Lytechinus pictus: one gene and its partner. The protein of the gene in region 2 interacts with the protein of the main gene of each other region in a pairwise test. Links are inferred from orthologs where the notes say so. Each region holds a gene or a part of one and is shown on either strand. Other genes may lie near its edges.

Region 1 (8,916 bases), on a different chromosome or scaffold from region 2:
AAATTCCACACAAAAGCCACTTTTTGGCTTTTTAGCAACACTCAAGCTTCATGTTTTTAATTTAAACTTCATATTTCTCATAATTTCTGAAGAGTACATCAAAAGTTATGGACATTTCCAGTGAAATATTGACATAGTAGTCTTAAGAAGTAAATCAACCATTAGAAAATATTAAGTTGGTATGTGTTACTGGGACAGATTTATCTCCAATCTATCCAAAATAAAAACATTCAAATTTCAAGCAGATGTTAAGAAATGACATAAAATCTTGCCAAGCAGAGCAACAAATATTTCAAAACTGAATGGCATGCATTTGTGAAGTTCATTCACTAACTTAAAGGGGAATCCAACCCAAATAAAAACTTGTTTGTATAAGGAAAAGAAAAATCAGACAAGTTTATAGGTGAAAGTTTGAACAATATTGGACAAACAACAAGAAAGTTATGAATTTTTTAAAGTTGTAAATATTGGTAATCACTATACCCATGGAGACTTAAAATTGGCCGCATATGGGATGTCATAGTGATGTAAGGCAAGGACTACTCTTCCATGTACTCCAATACATATTATGGCTAAAATGTCATTTTTCCCAAAAGTTTTATTGCAAATTATATTTTTCTTTCATGAGGACATAAAACAATATACTTCCTGTGTTATATTTAGATTACTGCACCAGGGGAATGGGTACTTAGGAGAAAACCAAAAATCCCTGATAACAATACATGGCCTATGGGAAAGTTGTCCTTGCCCCTTGTCATACATTGTAATACCTAGTTGCCAATTTGAAATCTACATAGTATTAGTGACCTCAATTTTAAAGCAGCTATAACTTTCTTATTGCTTGTACGATTTCTTTCAAACTTTCACTATTCTGTTTAATTTATTTTTCTCCTTCCCAACACAACATTTTATGGCCAAGGCTGAATTCCCCTTTAATGGAAGACCCCTTTACTAGGTTTGCAAGGAAAGAAACATCAAAGCCTCTGCCTTAATCTTGAATCAATGAATTCTCTTCACATTGAATGACTACATGTAAGTTGTTGAAAGCGTAATCAATGTGTCAGTCCGCAAAACAGAAAAGAGGCCAACCGCTCAAGTCTGACTCACTAAAATGGAAATAATTAAAGAAATTACTTGCACTTGTCAGTCTGAACAACAAATAAAACATGTTCTCTGTCTTTCCACATTGGAAGTGACCTATTGTAGGCCCCATCTTACATAGAGTTGCAATTGATCTGGTCAAACATAACTATGGAAAGCCATCAACATCTAAAATGCATGTTTACTCGCAACAGTTTTTAGATATCACATTCATTGATTTCTTGAAAAATTCAGTGTGCTTCTCTTTGTTTACAAAGGACACTGTACAAATTCCTTGTAGACAGAAATTATGACATCAATGGATTTCCATACAGTTGAGTTAGATCGGATCAATTGTAACTATTGTAAGATGGGGCCCTGGAGTAATTTTCCTTTAAAATAATTCAATCAGGAAATGCATTTCACTAATAATTTCTACACTTGCAACATTATTGATTTGGTGCTTCACTATTCATAGATGAACCTTTACGTACTCCCAAAATGAACAACTTACTGAGACTTTTAAAAAACCAATTGTTTATTGTTGTTTAAGTTAAGTATTTTTCCTTTCAGGGGCCTGCTGCAGAAAGAGTTGCGTTTAAACGCAAGTCAAAATATCAAGCACAAGTCCCCATTGCGTGTGCTTCATTGGCTGAAAATCAAGATGCGACAGATTTTTTGAGTTGCGTTTGATTGCAACTCTTTCTGCAACAGGCCCCAGGAGACCTATTACCGGTATGCTGAGAGTAATTTCATATACCTAGAGCACATGATCAAACAGAGAAATTGCTAATTTTGCCAACTGAATGCCTGCCAATTTTGATATTGGGCATATCCTAAATCTTGGCAACTCAGCAGAAAGCATGAAAATCAATGATACAATTACCATCAGTCGTCTTTTGTATCAACTGATCATTACTGATAGAGCACACTATCAAATACAATGTAAACATGTATGTATGTGATCAACAATTTACAAATTGATTATACTTGATTAAATACAAAAACATCTATATTGATAAATGCTTTACACGTATGTATGAACTGCTTTGTATAGGAACAAAATCTATGCTTCAAACAAAGCATCTCGATAAGTTCAATTACCATGCTTTCAAAAAATATAGATATCAAACAAGATACTAAGTTTTAAAACTGAGAAGATAAGAAAACAAACTATGTATGAAAAGGTCAGAAAATATAACACCGTATCAGGCTCGAGAGAGTTCAAATCGGTCTAAGATTTTGCCATAATAATGCGATTCAAAATCCTTGCTTTCCGCTGGAGTATGCTTACATGTACACTGAATCAGTACTCTTCTATAAAGCGATCAAGTGGTTAACATACATTGATCGATTGTACAGAATTGGAGTGGACCTCGTAACTGCTCAGCGGTTTCACAAAGTGGAAGTCGGGAACGCCGCAGTGGGGGCATTGTATACTCCTTGAGTACTCGCTGAAGAAGTGCGTGCCGCGGGTGGGGTCGATGACTGGCTTGCCGCACCGCTTGCATCCCGCCCTCCCCGGGCAGCAGGGGTAGGCTGCGAAGATGTCGTAGGAGTAGAGCGTCCCCAGCTGGTGATGACTACCATCCCAACGCGACTTGCATATACGGCAGACGATCCGCTGAACACCCTCTAAGCACTGCATGCAGACAGCATTCAGGTACTGGGAGCTCTGGAGACCAACTTGTAGACCCTTGTTACCATCGCCCTGTCGTTGCGGAGTAAGATAGAATGTGCCATCGATCAGAGGATAGCGATCAAAGACGGGAAGCTTCCTCGTACACACGGAACATGGAATGACACGGGTGCCATGTATATTGAGAGTCGCGAATATGAAGGAGCGTATCTCCTCGGACTCCGGCTGACTGTCCTCTTCCATCTTGATGTGGTACGAGTTGAGCTTGTGTGCCGGCAACACCTGGTAGAAGGCAGACAGATCCAAACGTGGTAAGAAACCTCGTGTACCAGTTCCGCCACTGCCACTGCTATTTGAACTGCTGCCAGGAGGAGGCATGTTATCCGTAGTGGGATTCCAGTAGACATTGCTGCTGAAGAAGTTGGTGTTGAGGGCAGCTTGCATGTTGCCAGACCTCTCTCCCTGCGGTCGAAAGTCAGGTGGTCCACCGTGATGAAATTGTGGTGATCTGTTGGTAGGTTGGGCCTGCCTGTTGCCACCCTGTTGGTGATGGGCCATACTCAGTGGTGGCCCATGGTAGTCGTGATGAGATTGTGGCCCCTGATACTGCTGCTGTGGCATCGGAGATACAAAATGATGGGGTTGATTCTGGATTTTTCCGCCACTGCTTCCACCATGTTGCCGCTTATTCCAATTATCATGGCTCTGTGACTGTGTGCTGTGGCTCACCGATGTTGGGGTTACAGCGGATGCTGTTGAACTTGCAGTCGATGTTGCTGTTGTGGTAGGTGTTGCTGGGTGGCTAGAAGTTGCAGCTGTGGCAGCAGAAACGGTACTGGTAGGTGGATTCGAAACCACTGCTATCTGTGGTGGAAAACGTTGGTTTTTGCTGCCTGGTTGATAAACACTTGGACTTTGTGGTGGAGTGTGGTTGCTTTCGGTCGATGCTGTTGACGAAGCTGATGTGTGTCGCAGTCTACCGTGTCCATTTCCGTGGCCATTTCCATTCCCATTGCCATTTCCATTGCCATTTCCAGAACTTGAACTGATCGAATTAGCTCGGCCAATGGTTGGTTTCTCATTGGACTTCTTGCGGCGTCGATGTCTACGTTGCTGGGCATTCTCAGCAGCAGCACCCTCGGGGAGCTTCGGCGGTATCCATTCCAGGTCCTTCCGTAGATGACCCTTGCCACACTTGCACGAGCATGCTTTCCACGCCAAGTCGTAGCCTTTCTTTGTCCACAAATTCTGGCGACGCTGCTTTTCCGACCAGCTTCTCGCCCGACCAGACGATCGCAGATATGTTAGAACTTCATCCTCCCATATATCAAAGCAAATCTTATGCATGTATTTCCCCTGTGTGCACTCCGGATTGTTGCAGACAACTTTTTGACAGTCATCCGGATCGTCCGTATGCACAGATTCGCCTTCAGTGCAACTCAACGGAACACAACATGGCTCCTCGTGTTCATTGTTGTTTACTTCGCCATCACCATCGCCAGCATCTTGCTCATCCAGCTGTTCTTCTACTTGCTGGCGAAATTGGTCGGCTCTATGCTGTTTATCATCGCGAGAGAACGGCATGGCTGTCCGACAAAACATAGACGATTACATTTTACACAGAATGGTTGTAACGGGGTATTGATAAATCCCAAAATTCAGTCCAATTTATGATGTAAACAAATGCACATGAGGTTCGTCTCACGCTTTCGAGATGATTGTTTGGATATTTGGGGTCCGCTGGAGGCGTGTCTCGGTGCCCAGATCGTCTTTTAGCATATTTGGTTCAAGGTCTGTCATTGGACCAAGCCTCGACAGTGTAAATTATCAGGCTCGGTGATTGGACCAAGATGATGTAATTGCAAATTTGCATAGAGCTGCGAGTAAACAACTCGGGCTTATCTTTTGCGCACGACATTGTGGTTTTTGCATTGACGGGTTTACCGTAACTGTGCCAAGTGCTCAGCGTTCAGGGATCAACTCGTTTGTTTTGATTCTGTAAATTTGTCAATCATACTGTATTCCTTCAAACCATGTACCAGGGAAGTGTGGTTCTCTGTGTATTATGATAAAATAGGACATTGTAAGTACGAAGCTATAGCGGCAGTGAATGTAATTAGTAATTTAATAAGGGTTTGGGGGCATTCACTCGGGACCAATTAGCATACAACTGTATACACCGTTGTTTCCGGGACATTGCAATGCATTACGTAATATTAGATAATGATCGATTGACGCGCAAACTCCTCTTCATCTTTAATATGATTGATACGAACACAATATTCTAGTTTTGGCTGGTGAGGTATTCAAGCAGCTATATAGCATGAAAAATAAAGATTGATGAGAGCAAAAGTTTAGTAGAGACAGTAGAAAAAAGAAGGGGGGGGGGTGCGCGTATGGATGAAGTAATATAAAAAGAGAATTAGGGAACGGACAAGGGCGCGGCACCACACCATCCTCTGGGATTTTTCAAGTATATAGGGCGAAAAATAAGTGGGAAAAAGAGCAAAAAGGAGAGTCCGTGGCCATGTAACTCTATAATACTCCTATATTCAATTAATGAAAAAAAATATGACGTCAAATTTTTAGGACGTTTGCCCCCTATCAAGGAATCACCCCCCCCCCCCCCAAAAAAAAAGAACCTCGGGCGGCTGCTTGAAAAGATTACATTATCAGGGAGTGAAAGCGGAGAAAAGCAGAAAAGATCAAGGGTGGATGAAGAGAGATTGTTGATACTCAATTCATTGAAACATATTCTTAGGATATAAAAGTAAGAGTAATTGTCCCTTTTCTTGCGTTTACTTTTTCATCCAAGTTTCCTTTTTGTTACCAAAAGTGTCAACTACCAATATATTTCTCCTGCAAAAGAAAGCAGTTCGCACATGTACTGGGTCTGGTTACAGAGACCATACAAATCCCTTATTTGTAAAGCTGAAGTGTTTGAAGGTAGAAGATATAAATTTTTTGCAAACTGCCTTATTTATGTTCCGTTTTAATGCCAATATGCTGCCTGACTCATTTTCTTCAATGTTTCAGCCTAACAGCACTGTCCATTCATATAGCACAAGACAGTCATCGAACATACATTTGGTTAATCCCCGCACCGCATTAGCTCATAAATCAATCAGACACCGTGGTTCAGATGTTTGGAATTCTCTTCCACATAATATTCGAAATTTGAAAACCTCACATTCTTTTAAATTGGCTGTAAAGCACAATCTCCTTTCAAAATTACAGAATGTGTAAACTGCTAGTAACGTATACATGTAAGTAATTAAATCTTCTTTCTTTCTCTTATTCGTAACTGAAGATTAAGAATTTAACTTTGTTGAATTACTCTACCATATATTCATAACAATTTAAAACTTAATTGTTATATCTCGGCAGTCTATCACTTTTACATTCTTCTCTTTCTTTCCTCTCTTCCTTATTCTTACATTTTTATTTTGTTTTCTTGGATGCAAAACCAGTTTAAAGGTGCTTAAACCAATCAAGCTTTTAGCTTATGTTGCAACACCTTTGTATGTTCATTATTTACTTGTGTTTTCATATATTTATACATTATCTGTGTATTCTTTTACATTGTATATTGTGAACATGCATGAATAAATAAATAAATAAATAAATAAATAAATAAATATAGATCTATCTCTTCTTGTCCTTTCTTTCTTTCTTTCTTTCTTTCCTTCCTTCCTTCCTTCTTTCTTTCTTTCTTTCTTTCCTTCGATCCTTCTTTCTTTCTTTCATTTTCTTTTAAAAGATAAAATTCCCCATTTATTCACTACTCATTTGCATTTTTTCTAATTACGCGTATGTTTTCCCTATGAGTTTTTAATGATTGGACTGATTATATCGGCAGATATAGTCAGAGATGCTTTGATAGAAACAGAGTTGTTTGTAATCAGTTCTTTTTGTGCTCACACCAATATTCTGTTGGCTGGTTTGCACACTTTTTTTTTTTGGGGGGGGGGGGAGGTGGGTCTCCCACTCTAAATTGCAGGGATTTAAAATAAATCCAGGTGGTCTGTAGTTAGGTATACCAATCGTATTATAGATTTAATTTTAATCCTAAAAATATTTTAAAGTTAGTTAGGAATTTTAATTTAAATCCTTTAAAAATGAAGTTTAGGATTAAAAATAATTCCAGAATTCGATTGATCCCTAACTATTATCTACGTGGATTTACTTTAAATCCCTACAATTTAGTGTGTAATTTCATTGGATCATTATATTGCCTTTTGATGCTTGGCTGGAAATTGATTAAAAGAAATAGTATATAAAGAAAACAAAGCAAAAGGAACTCTCTTCTAGACGTCCTCAAGTCAAACCTCTATCTTTTGCCCTTATAATCACGCCCATTTTAAAAGCTGATTTCATGAAACACAGTCAGTTTCAGGGGGTTAATAACACTCTTCTCACATAACACAGTATATGACCCTTTTCACTTCTTATTGCTTCTTTTCCCTCTTCATCAAAATTTACCCTTCTCCAGTTTATGCATGCATGCATCCATCCACCCACCGGCCAACCGTCCGTCCGTTCCCCCTTCCACCCACTCCATCCATCCTTCCATCCACTCACCCACCCACCCATCCATCCATCCACCCATCCATCCATCCAACCAACCAACCATCCATCCATCCATCCACCCATCCATCCGATCATCCACCCATCCATCCATCCAACCCACCATCCACCGGCCACCAATCCATCCATCCACCATCCATCCATCCAACCAACCAACCATCCATCCATCCATCCACCCATCCATCCATCCACTCACCCACCCATCCATCCATCCACCCATCCATCCATCCAACCAACCAACCATCCATCCATCCATCCATCCACCCATCCATCCGATCATCCACCCATCCATCCATCCAACCCACCATCCACCGGCCACCAATCCATCCATCCACCATCCATCCATCCAACCAACCAACCATCCATCCATCCATCCACCCATCCATCCATCCACCAATCCATCCATCCACCATCCATCCATCCATCCATCCATCCATCCATCCAACCAACCATCCAACCAACCATCCACCCATCCATCCATCCACCCATCCACCCATCCATCCATCCATCCATCCAACCAACCATCCATCCATCCATCCACCCACCCACCCACCCACCCACCCATCCATCCATCCACCCACCCATCCATCTATCCACCCACCCACCCGCCCATCCACCCATCCTTTCATTCATCCATCCACCCACCCACCCATCTATCCATCCATCCATCCACCCACCCATCCATACATCTCTCTCACACTTTATCCATTGATCCCTTCTGTAGGTCATCCATCCAGGCTCTCGATTCATATATCCATTATCTGTCCATTCCCTACTTCATCCATTCATTTCTTTTCTAATTCATACATTCGCTGAGTCCCTCCATTCATCTATCAGTCCACCCCATCATCTTTCCATCCATCAATCCACTTTCTCAGTTCTATTCATAAATCCATGTATCTATCCATCCACCTCGATCCTTCTCCACTTGATCCATTGATGTCTTCTTCATTCTTCCATCATTTTACTTTTGTCATTAATATTCAATCTTTCCATCCATCTAGTCCATAAAGTCAATCTCTCTCTCTCTACCTACCTATCTATCTATATATGTCTGTCTGTCTATCTATCTATCTATCTATCTATCTATCTATATATATATATATCTCTCTCTCTATCTATCTACATCTATCTATCTATCTATCTATCTATCTATCTATCTATCTATCTATCTATCTATCTATCTATCTCTCTAGCTATCTATCTATCTATCTATCCATCTATCTACATCTATCTATCTAGCTATCTATCTATCTAAATCTATCTATCTATCTATCTACCTATCTACATCTACCTATCTATCTATCTATTTATCTATCCATCCATCTATCTACCTACCTACCTACCTACCTATCTATCGATCTATCTATCAATCTATCTACCTATCTATTCATCCATCCATCTATCTATCCCTCCATCCTTTTCATTGATTATTCATCCTTTGATCTCTTCTCGGATTCATCCATTCGTTCACTTTCTCCTATTCACCCATTTATCCTTAGACTCCACACCCTCATCCATCTTTTATTTTATCTCTATCCATCACTTTTTTCTTCTATTCACGCTTTCCCCTAACACCTTTTAATCAGATATCTTTCTCAATTTTTGTT
Region 2 (8,916 bases):
AATTAATACACTCATTCATGAATCATCATTTCGTTCCTACAGACACACAGGGTGATAAGTTATAGTCTCTTGAATGACTCAAGAAAAACCCATCCCTGTCGCTTCAATATGTCACACATTCTAATCACTTTTAAGAGCAAATTTCTCTTCTTTCCTCAAAAAGACTATCCCTTTCCCGTAAAAATATTCAATTCAAGATCCTTTTTTTTCTTCTATTTATCAGTATCTCTCTCTGGCACTTCTATTAAGATTTTTAGGTAATCTTTTACTGCTTCAGTTATTTGTATGCACCAAATGAAACAATTAATTGGGATTTTAATGATGCAGTCCTTCAATTTACATATATTGGGGGTAAGATCACTTTCCTTTGGGCCTCATTTCTAACACAAATAAACAAATAATTTACAAGGGCACAACAATTCTTCAAGGCCAATAATAATGAGAACGGTACTATTGAAGCCAATAAAAAGGACATTCAATAGCCATGGCCTTGGATTAATGTAAGCCCTGGAGTTGAGGATCTATTCCCTGATTACAATCAATCAACTCACCTTGCCATCTAGGATCATCTACATACATTGTTTTATCCTTGTCTGTTGATACAGCAGGAGGTGCTACTGAAGGAGCCTGTGTGGTGATGAGATTAGCCGTTAGGGATCCTAAGTCACTTGACAGCGTCGTGCACTCTGGAGGCAACACCGAAGGAACCCCCTGTCCTGGAGCCTTTGTCTGGGCCATCTCCCGGATGTCATAGACAGGCTGTCGTAGGTCATGAGGGCCATGTGCAAATGCACAGTGAGGACCGTTCTTGACACAGTGTCCTCTGGCATCGGTCTCATGAACACAGGTTCCTGTCTTGTAGTATCTCAAGTGGTACCTTCTCTCTGTATCTCCTGTATTTCGGTGAAGGTAGGGGCACCTTCAGATACAAATGAAAAAATGCAACATTACCACAGGAAATAAATGATAAAAACATCACTCTTAAAGTACAGTTGAGTTCTTCCTACTTGGCTACAATGCAATTTTTTTTATTATAACATTTTTTCTCACAAAAAAAAATTGTGCATACACCACATGCATTCATCATAAAATGTAAAAAGTTCAGCCAAAGAGTGTTGTGAAATTTTGTAGCAACAGGCTAAAATATATGAATGTCCATGAACTGTCACAATACACTGTATGTATCGATAATACATAAGGCACGCCAGGAGCAATGCTGGATTGAGGAGGCAACATCACATGCTCACAGGGGCTAAAAAAAATTGTGGTACTGTCAATAGCTTATGTCACCTACGTGTATATACAGTATGTAGATTTTTCTATGAAATAGGGGGAATAGAGGGAAACGCATAACACGAAAAAAAAAAAAATTTCCAGTGCCCCTGGCGATCAGATAAGACATAGGAAGTGTTGCAAGAAAACATTTGCAATCAATCACAAATTTTCTGGGTCCTGTTGCATGGAAGTTAACTCTGCCATCCAATGGTACATTTAACTACATGTACATGTACATGTGAACAGCCAATCAAAATCAAGGATTCCATGCAAGTTACATGTACATGTACCATTATTGGATGGCAAATTTACCATAATGGTAACTTTCATGCAACAGAAACCCATTCAGCGCAACTCGGACCCATGCGAGTATGAAAAGCCAAATGTCCCAAAATCCCCACGTCGGAACGTTATGTCTTTTTAGGGATATAAAAACTTTAAAAAACGGGACCAATTCGTTAAAAACTGAATGGTTGGCAACCATGAACAGGGCCCTGGTGCAATTTCACAATCAATTGATCAATTTTGGGCTTTTTTTGGGCTGTAGCAAATGGTAACTTTGCCATACAATGGTAACTTGCATGGAATCTTTGATTTTGATTGGCTGCTGAACATCGTTACCATGGTAGTTACATACTTTTGTACCATTGGATGGCAATGGTAATCCAATGGTTTCTTCCCTGAAATCATTGATTCTCATTGGCTGATTAGCATTGGATTGAAAAGAGTAACTTTTATGCAACAGGGACCTGGATAACCTACACATGTACATGTAAGTCGCATCTTTTGAGACCACAGAAATATACATGAACATGTATTTGACTAAGCTATTTAATTCTGGTCTGAGATAATAATTTGATAATTTACATAACATGAAGGCAATTATTTGACTTAATATCAACTTCAACAGAGTGTACTGTATTCATGAAGGGTTTCACTTTATATGCTCAAGCTCAACTCATCAACATAAAAGTTCCCGATCTTTCCTTGAGTCAAGAACTACATGTACCGTACAGTATACTGTAATTGTGTGCAGATACAGAAACATAATTGAAATATTTTGCTGTCTGTTACTGTACGATGTACTTTACATGTACTTTGTAGCTTTGTCATATTATGTTTGTTTCTAAAACATTTTGCTAAAATCTTGAATATTAAAACTGACCTTATCACATGGAGAAACTTTCTTCTGGGAGATTAGATTTGTCACAGAAGTTTCAGAACAACAAGATTTCTTTTCCCATACATTTGATTTGGAATGTTTGTAATAATTTGGTATAAATACCAATAGTAATTTTTGAAGCAATGAATTGCTTGCCATCTGTGGATAAATTTTTTTCACCTTTGCCCCCCCCCCTTAGATTTTTCAAATATACACACCAGATATGTACAATACATCTTTCCTTCTTCGTTGATACTGTTAAATAACACTAGTCTAGTATATACAAACTCTATATGCATTATGTAGCATTGTAGATTATATCATTTTCTTCGATAGAAATACATTTACATGTATACAATACATTATACTGAAAAGTTCAAACTACCTTGTACTAATTTGCAGAGAAAGTGCTTAAAATGCATACTTAGAATGAGACAGCTGAAATCTGTCTGTTTGGAGGAGTTTTTATACATTTTTAAAACACTTGTTTACATTGTAAGTGGAGCCAAAGGAGTTCAGCGGAAGAGCCAATGTACAGTACTACAGAGACAGAAGCTTTTGGTCTTAGAATGTAAACACACATGTACTGTAATTGTTTCATTATGGATGACATTTTTGGATTTGAGTGTGTGTGTGTATGTGTGTATTTTGAGTCTGGGACCAACCTTTAACGTCACCATCCGAAAGACTTGACCAGGGCTCACACCTCTGCATCAATTTGTAACTTCTCCACATAGCTTGGATTACAGGCGCACGCCACAACACCCAGTACAATTTACTACAGTAGGCTTTACACTTCAATCATTTTTACGCAAAAGCAATCACTGGCCATACTTCAGAGTATAACAGTCTATCAACGCAAATACAGAAACAGATTATATGTACAGGTATGAATATCTTTTAAAGCAAGTCAGATAATTAGGTGAATGCTAAATGCAGGCCTTTAGAATCATTTTAGTATAATCCAACCTACATCGTACAGTAAAGCAAAAAAATATATAATAGGAATGCTACATGTATATAAGTTTGAAAAAGGACATTTTTTGTCATTTGTAGTGTTCTTTAATTTCAGGAGTTTGTGGTATTTCTTCAAGTGCCTACACAGTAAAAAAATATAGCACATTGTTTAAGCCTGTCACTGTAACAAGTTATTTAAACTTTTTTTTTTAAATTTAAACAGTTGTTTAAAAACTTTAAACAATAATTATAAGATTGATGGGCTTAAACAACGTGCTTGATTTTTAAACAGCGCTTTTACAGTTTAAGCACAGTACATTCTTGTACCAATTGGTAATAAATATAACACATACCAATCATCATTATAGGTCTACATGTACATGTAGATGTAGCATACTTCTGTATAAAATTTAAACATTATTCTGAATGATTTTTTGGAAAAGTTGTCAAAATCTAAAGCCCCCATCACACTTATTTGGAATCAGCAGGAATCAAGCAGAAGCTGGAAAGAAAAAAATATTCAAAAAATCTAGAAATTTTTGGGAGGAACTTCACAATTCTTCACACCAAACTGGAGTTGAAATTCAGTAAATTGACCAGGTGTATCATCATACACTAGTCAAAATGAACCGCAATGGAGTCAGATTGATAATTCGTGCTACGTTCTCGGACATTCTAGGGGCATTCTAAATATCCTGACTGCATTCTGAGTGCATTCGAAATATTTTTGTCATTTCTTTTGGCCGTCCCGAAGGTTTTGGTCATGTTCAAAACATTTGAGGAATATTTTCGAACGGTGTTCAAAGTAGATTTAAATGACCAACTGGTTGTCAAACAATAGTCCTTTCATTCAGGCCAATTCTGCTTGATTCGGAATAAGTGTGATGGGGGCTTAACATCACAAACATGCAACAAACAATATTTTTTTTTTCTGCTTCATTCATTTTTTTAAACTTCCTTTTCTAAATATTTTGTTTGGATCTCCCTTCAAAATTAATTAAATAGCAAGAATAATACATTTATTTGGCATAAACATTCTCATTTGATTAAAAGGCTGCTATCCATTTGAAAAACATAATTACCAATAGTTACACAAACCTGGCTATGCTCAGGTGCTGTTTGTTTTAAAACACTAACGTTATACTAGGGTGGTTGTTGGAATTGGGCATTCTGCATGTGCAGGGCCAGGGCCGGGCCTAGTATTGCAAATCACAGTCAGATGTTCACTACCTTTTGCACTATCAAATGGTTAGATTTGGATGGAGTTCTGCTCAGAAACATGAAACCCCAATTCCCCAATCATGACAGATTACTGGTCCGGGCCGAGCTGACCCTTATCACTTGCCTGGGATGATTGCATGCCGTGCCCGTCCCATTCGGCCGTCACGCTCCGAACAAAACAAGGCACGCAATTAAACGTGCGGGAGCGCGCCCAAATATGAATCCACTACATTTGCAATAGCACATTGTGAATTGTTTGGATGTAACTACATTGCAGCAGCGACAGATTTTGCCGTTTTAACCCAATAACACATGATTTTAACAATATCAAAATAGTCTGTGGTAAATTTAACATAAGTTGGTATGCAATACATCGATGCTTTCTTCTTGTCGCTTGAACTACTCGAGTGCAAATTTCTGTCAAATTATGTCAACAAGTTTTTTGCGTATCGGCAATAACAAACATGGCGTCATTAACGCACTACAGCTGAGCTATCTCTCAACTCCGGGACAAAAACAATGGCAATACTCACTCATCTCTGTCTTCACAAAGGCCTGAAGTTTCGTCATACTTGGAGCAATATATATCCGGGCTATAATTAAATGTTCCATCACGTTTTCGTATCGGTCTCCTTCTTCGTTGATTAAGAAAATGCCATTGAAAACAAGTAAAAGGTCGATGATTTGGACACTTGTGTTGCAAGAAATCCTGGCATTGTTGTGTACGAAACTCCTTCAGGTAACTGAAAAGTAAAGCGAAAAAACATCATGAAGACAACATGGAAATATTTTGAAACAATCATAGAATGAAGCAGAATGTATTAATCACAGTATTCGTATACTCACGTATAGTGAAAAGGTTTTTCTGGTTGAGCAGAAACGACTTGATTAGCCGAAGTCTTCTGCTGCTCGGACGGCATTTTGATAACTTTAGCTGTTATTGTACGTGCACGCCGCACGTACGCACATACGATGGGAATTTAGCCCGCGCGAAAACCTCTTCTTTGCAAAGCCAATCAGCTTCACTCTGACGTCAAAATCCTCAGCCAGTGAATGAAGTCACATGACCTGGGCTTCCCCCTGACGTCACGTATTTTGGCAAAACAGCTGAGCGATACACACGTGCATTTGTTTACCAAAACAAACGACAAATAACTTTTAATTGCGATTAATTCAAATCTCAAAAACTCTTGACCAAACACAAAATAAATAATTCTAAACATTTTATACTTGACTGGCCAAGGTTTCGCCAGGCAAAGGCAGTTTGATTACTCACAAACTCACGATATGGCACGCCACATATTATTATACAGGCCTGTCCTCGCGATCCAATTCCGGAGCCCGGGGGGGGGGGGGGGCACTCAGTATATAATGCATAGTGGGTATGTGCCGCGGAGGGGACCCCCATTTTTACACTCAAATTTCCGTTCCAAGGCATAGCATTTTTGTCTTATTGAGAAAAAGAACAAAGAAAGCCGCTCCAAGGCATAGCATTTCCTTCTTATCGAGAAAAAAGAAGAAAGAAATCAGCTCCAAAGCTTCGCATATTTTTCGTTACGCCGTTCCGGTCGCATTGATCTGCTACAATTTTGGTGAAAAGCGGCCGTAGAGCGCTTTTCGACCATCGCCTAAGCGCGAGCGCACCCGGCGTAGGCCGCGCTAGCTGCGTCATGCACGATTGCCCGTTCCATAGGGATGCATACGCACTCACAGAGATACGGAGATCCGTTCCGAGGACCCCCTTTTCACAAACATTTGTAGTTCCGAAGCCCGTTCCGAGGACCCTCCTTTTTACAATAAGCCCGCTCCAAGGCCCCCGTTTTTTGCCTCGCCCGCGGCACACCCCTACCACTTTTTTGGTCGAGTGCCCCCCCCCCGGGTTCCGGAGTCATTCTATAACTATAAACAAGACTACAGAAAATGGTGCTCGGAAATTCAAGGCTTTTACCAGCTGGAGTTTACAATTTTATCTTTTTAGAAGTTAAAAAATATCGATTTCTAACATTCAATTTCTTGCCGATGGTCGTTTTACTAATGATGCAAAATGTGTTCGTACATGTATGACTTTGGATTTAGTTTTAAATAATTTTGTTAGATAATTAGGTGATAGTACTGGTATTGTACTATCCGGCGGCATCCACAATTGTTTTATTTTTACGTGCTAACAAATCATTGCGATGTTATCAATCAATCGGATTTCTTCCAATGCTACCGAACGCTTCCAAACATGCTGATGAATGAACAGAGAAATCGATAGACACACAAAAAATGCCTATAGCGTGGTGGCAGTGCAATGCACTCTACCCCCCCCCCCCCCCATTCGCACCTATTCACCCGACAAATGGCAGTGATACAAAAGCACATTTCCTTTGAAAATGGTATGAGCCTGTAGCTAGTCAGGCATGAATCTTTTGTCTTTCAGTTTGTAAGAAAAATCCAGTTAAGCACATGCCTGACATAGTTTGCTCGCATGGTGCCTTCGAACAGCATGGTGAATTAGCTATTACTCCCTCTTTTCAAAGAACCCGAAATGATTGAGCCGGGTGATTGAGTGAATTGTTCACGAGCTAGAGAAGCGAGTATTTCGGTGGTTTGTACTTCATCGTCATCTTTCAAATGCTCTAAGAGTTTGATGTTGCATTGCTTCTGGAGAAGAAAAATACCAATTCAAAATGCCTGTGACTCGTCGTCAAAATCGTGGATTCTTCGACCGATACGATAGTCGGCGGGAACGCAGAGATCAAAGATTCGGCGGCGGTTTTGGGCGGGGTCCTACCGACACTTTTTCAATAACAGAAGAAGTCATGGCGTTGGAAGAAGAAAGTGCAGTCGGGGCAGAAGAGACATACGATACTGGTGCAACGACAGCAGTAGCTGCAGCCGTCTCCCCGACCACGGACGGTTCAGAGTCACCAGCAGTTTGTGGATACGAGGCTCAGTTCGAATCCCCGCTGGACAAGAAATATGTATGTCCTGTCTGTCTGTCGGCGCTCCGTGACCCTCTGCAAACGAAATGTGGGCACAGGTTTTGCAAAGTGTGTTTGACGCTGGCAAGTGGGTAAGAAGTTCCCTTCAAGTATTATATTCTATCTCAAGACTTACAAAAGGGCTTTTAAAAAGAAACTCGTACAGGGTAATTCCACTCAGATATTGTCGACTTTCGGAAAATGTATTGACACCAATGCCGGTAAGAAATTAAACGATGTTATGAAAATGCTTTGAACATTCGACTGGCATGGGTATTGCATTGAATACTGATACTCTATAACTTACGTAGTCATGGGAAAAGTCATATATGTTTCTTAAGGAACATAACCGTTATTTTTTTTCTTTGATTTTCTAAAAGTTTAATACTGGTCTCTACTTTTTCTAGACCGGGGAATGTGGCCAAATGCCCTCTGGATAAATTATTCTTTGATGTCCGCAGTGAAGTAAGTATATATTTTAGTCTTTATCCCCGACCCCCTTTCTCCTCCTCCTCGTCGCATTATAGCTTCTCATCCTCAACCCCCTTCGTCACCTTCTCATTCATCATCTTCTTCTTCATCATCTTCTTCTTCATTTTCTTCTTCTTCCTCATTTCCCAATTTACTTCTCCTCCTCCTTCTTCCTTCTTCTTCCTCCTCCTTCTCCTCCTCCTCCTTCTTCTAGCTTCTTCTTTTTCTTTTTCTTCTTCTTCTTCTTCTTCTTCTTCTTCCTTCTTCTTCTTCTTCTTCTTCTTTTTCCTTCTCATTCTTCTACCTCCTCCTCCTCCTTCTTCTTATTCTTCTTCTTCTCCTCCTCCTCCTCCTCCTCCCCTCCTCCTCCCCTCCTCCTCCCCTCCTCCTCCTCCTGATTCCAGTCACTTTATTACCATTTCTGTCCTTGTTAATTTAGGATCTTAAGAACATTTTTTCATATTCATGTTAATAAATCAAATCATGCACATGGTCGAACGCATAATTTTTTTCGGGGGAACAAGACATGTGAAAATATCTGAAGAACTCAAAAGCGAAATAGCAAAGCGACCGAGCTTGTCGTTAGGGTGCTTTTGCTCTTCCTAAAGTGAAATTAAAGGATTTCGTGTGCAATTTTGTTTATTTTGTTTTCAAACTTTTTGTGGAGCAACTTCCCCCTGCAACCCCCCCCCCCCTTCCGATGCATGTGGCCATGGTCCATTACAACCCTTACCATATCCTCCGCAAAAGAATGATAAATCCTGGTGGGAAGGGCACCGCCCTACAGTTCTTATTCACCTTTTATACTAAGAAACGGTTATCAAAGTATAACAAGTGGAATGCCTCTGGCCGTCTCACCTGCAT

Evidence for each region.
Region 1: the proteins of RING finger protein unkempt homolog (region 2) and headcase protein homolog interact in binary tests that used the Drosophila melanogaster proteins (3 or more experiments, as listed by UniProt). The link is inferred for Lytechinus pictus from reciprocal best matches to the Drosophila melanogaster genes unk and heca.

The regions. Positions count from the first base shown.
Region 1 is NC_087248.1:21,936,993-21,945,908, reverse strand, and holds the start of headcase protein homolog, read right to left. Parts: upstream 4,494-8,916; 5' UTR 4,322-4,493; coding exon 2,417-4,321; 3' UTR 1-2,416. UniProt on the Drosophila melanogaster protein: Required for imaginal cell differentiation, may be involved in hormonal responsiveness during metamorphosis. Involved in an inhibitory signaling mechanism to determine the number of cells that will form unicellular sprouts in the trachea.
Region 2 is NC_087254.1:22,870,565-22,879,480, reverse strand, and holds the start of RING finger protein unkempt homolog, read right to left. Parts: upstream 5,645-8,916; 5' UTR 5,536-5,644; coding exon 5,462-5,535; intron 5,359-5,461; coding exon 5,149-5,358; intron 920-5,148; coding exon 552-919; intron 1-551. Other genes in the region: TNF receptor-associated factor 6-like, read left to right, coding at 7,288-7,673, 7,989-8,046. UniProt on the Drosophila melanogaster protein: Essential for late larval/early pupal development.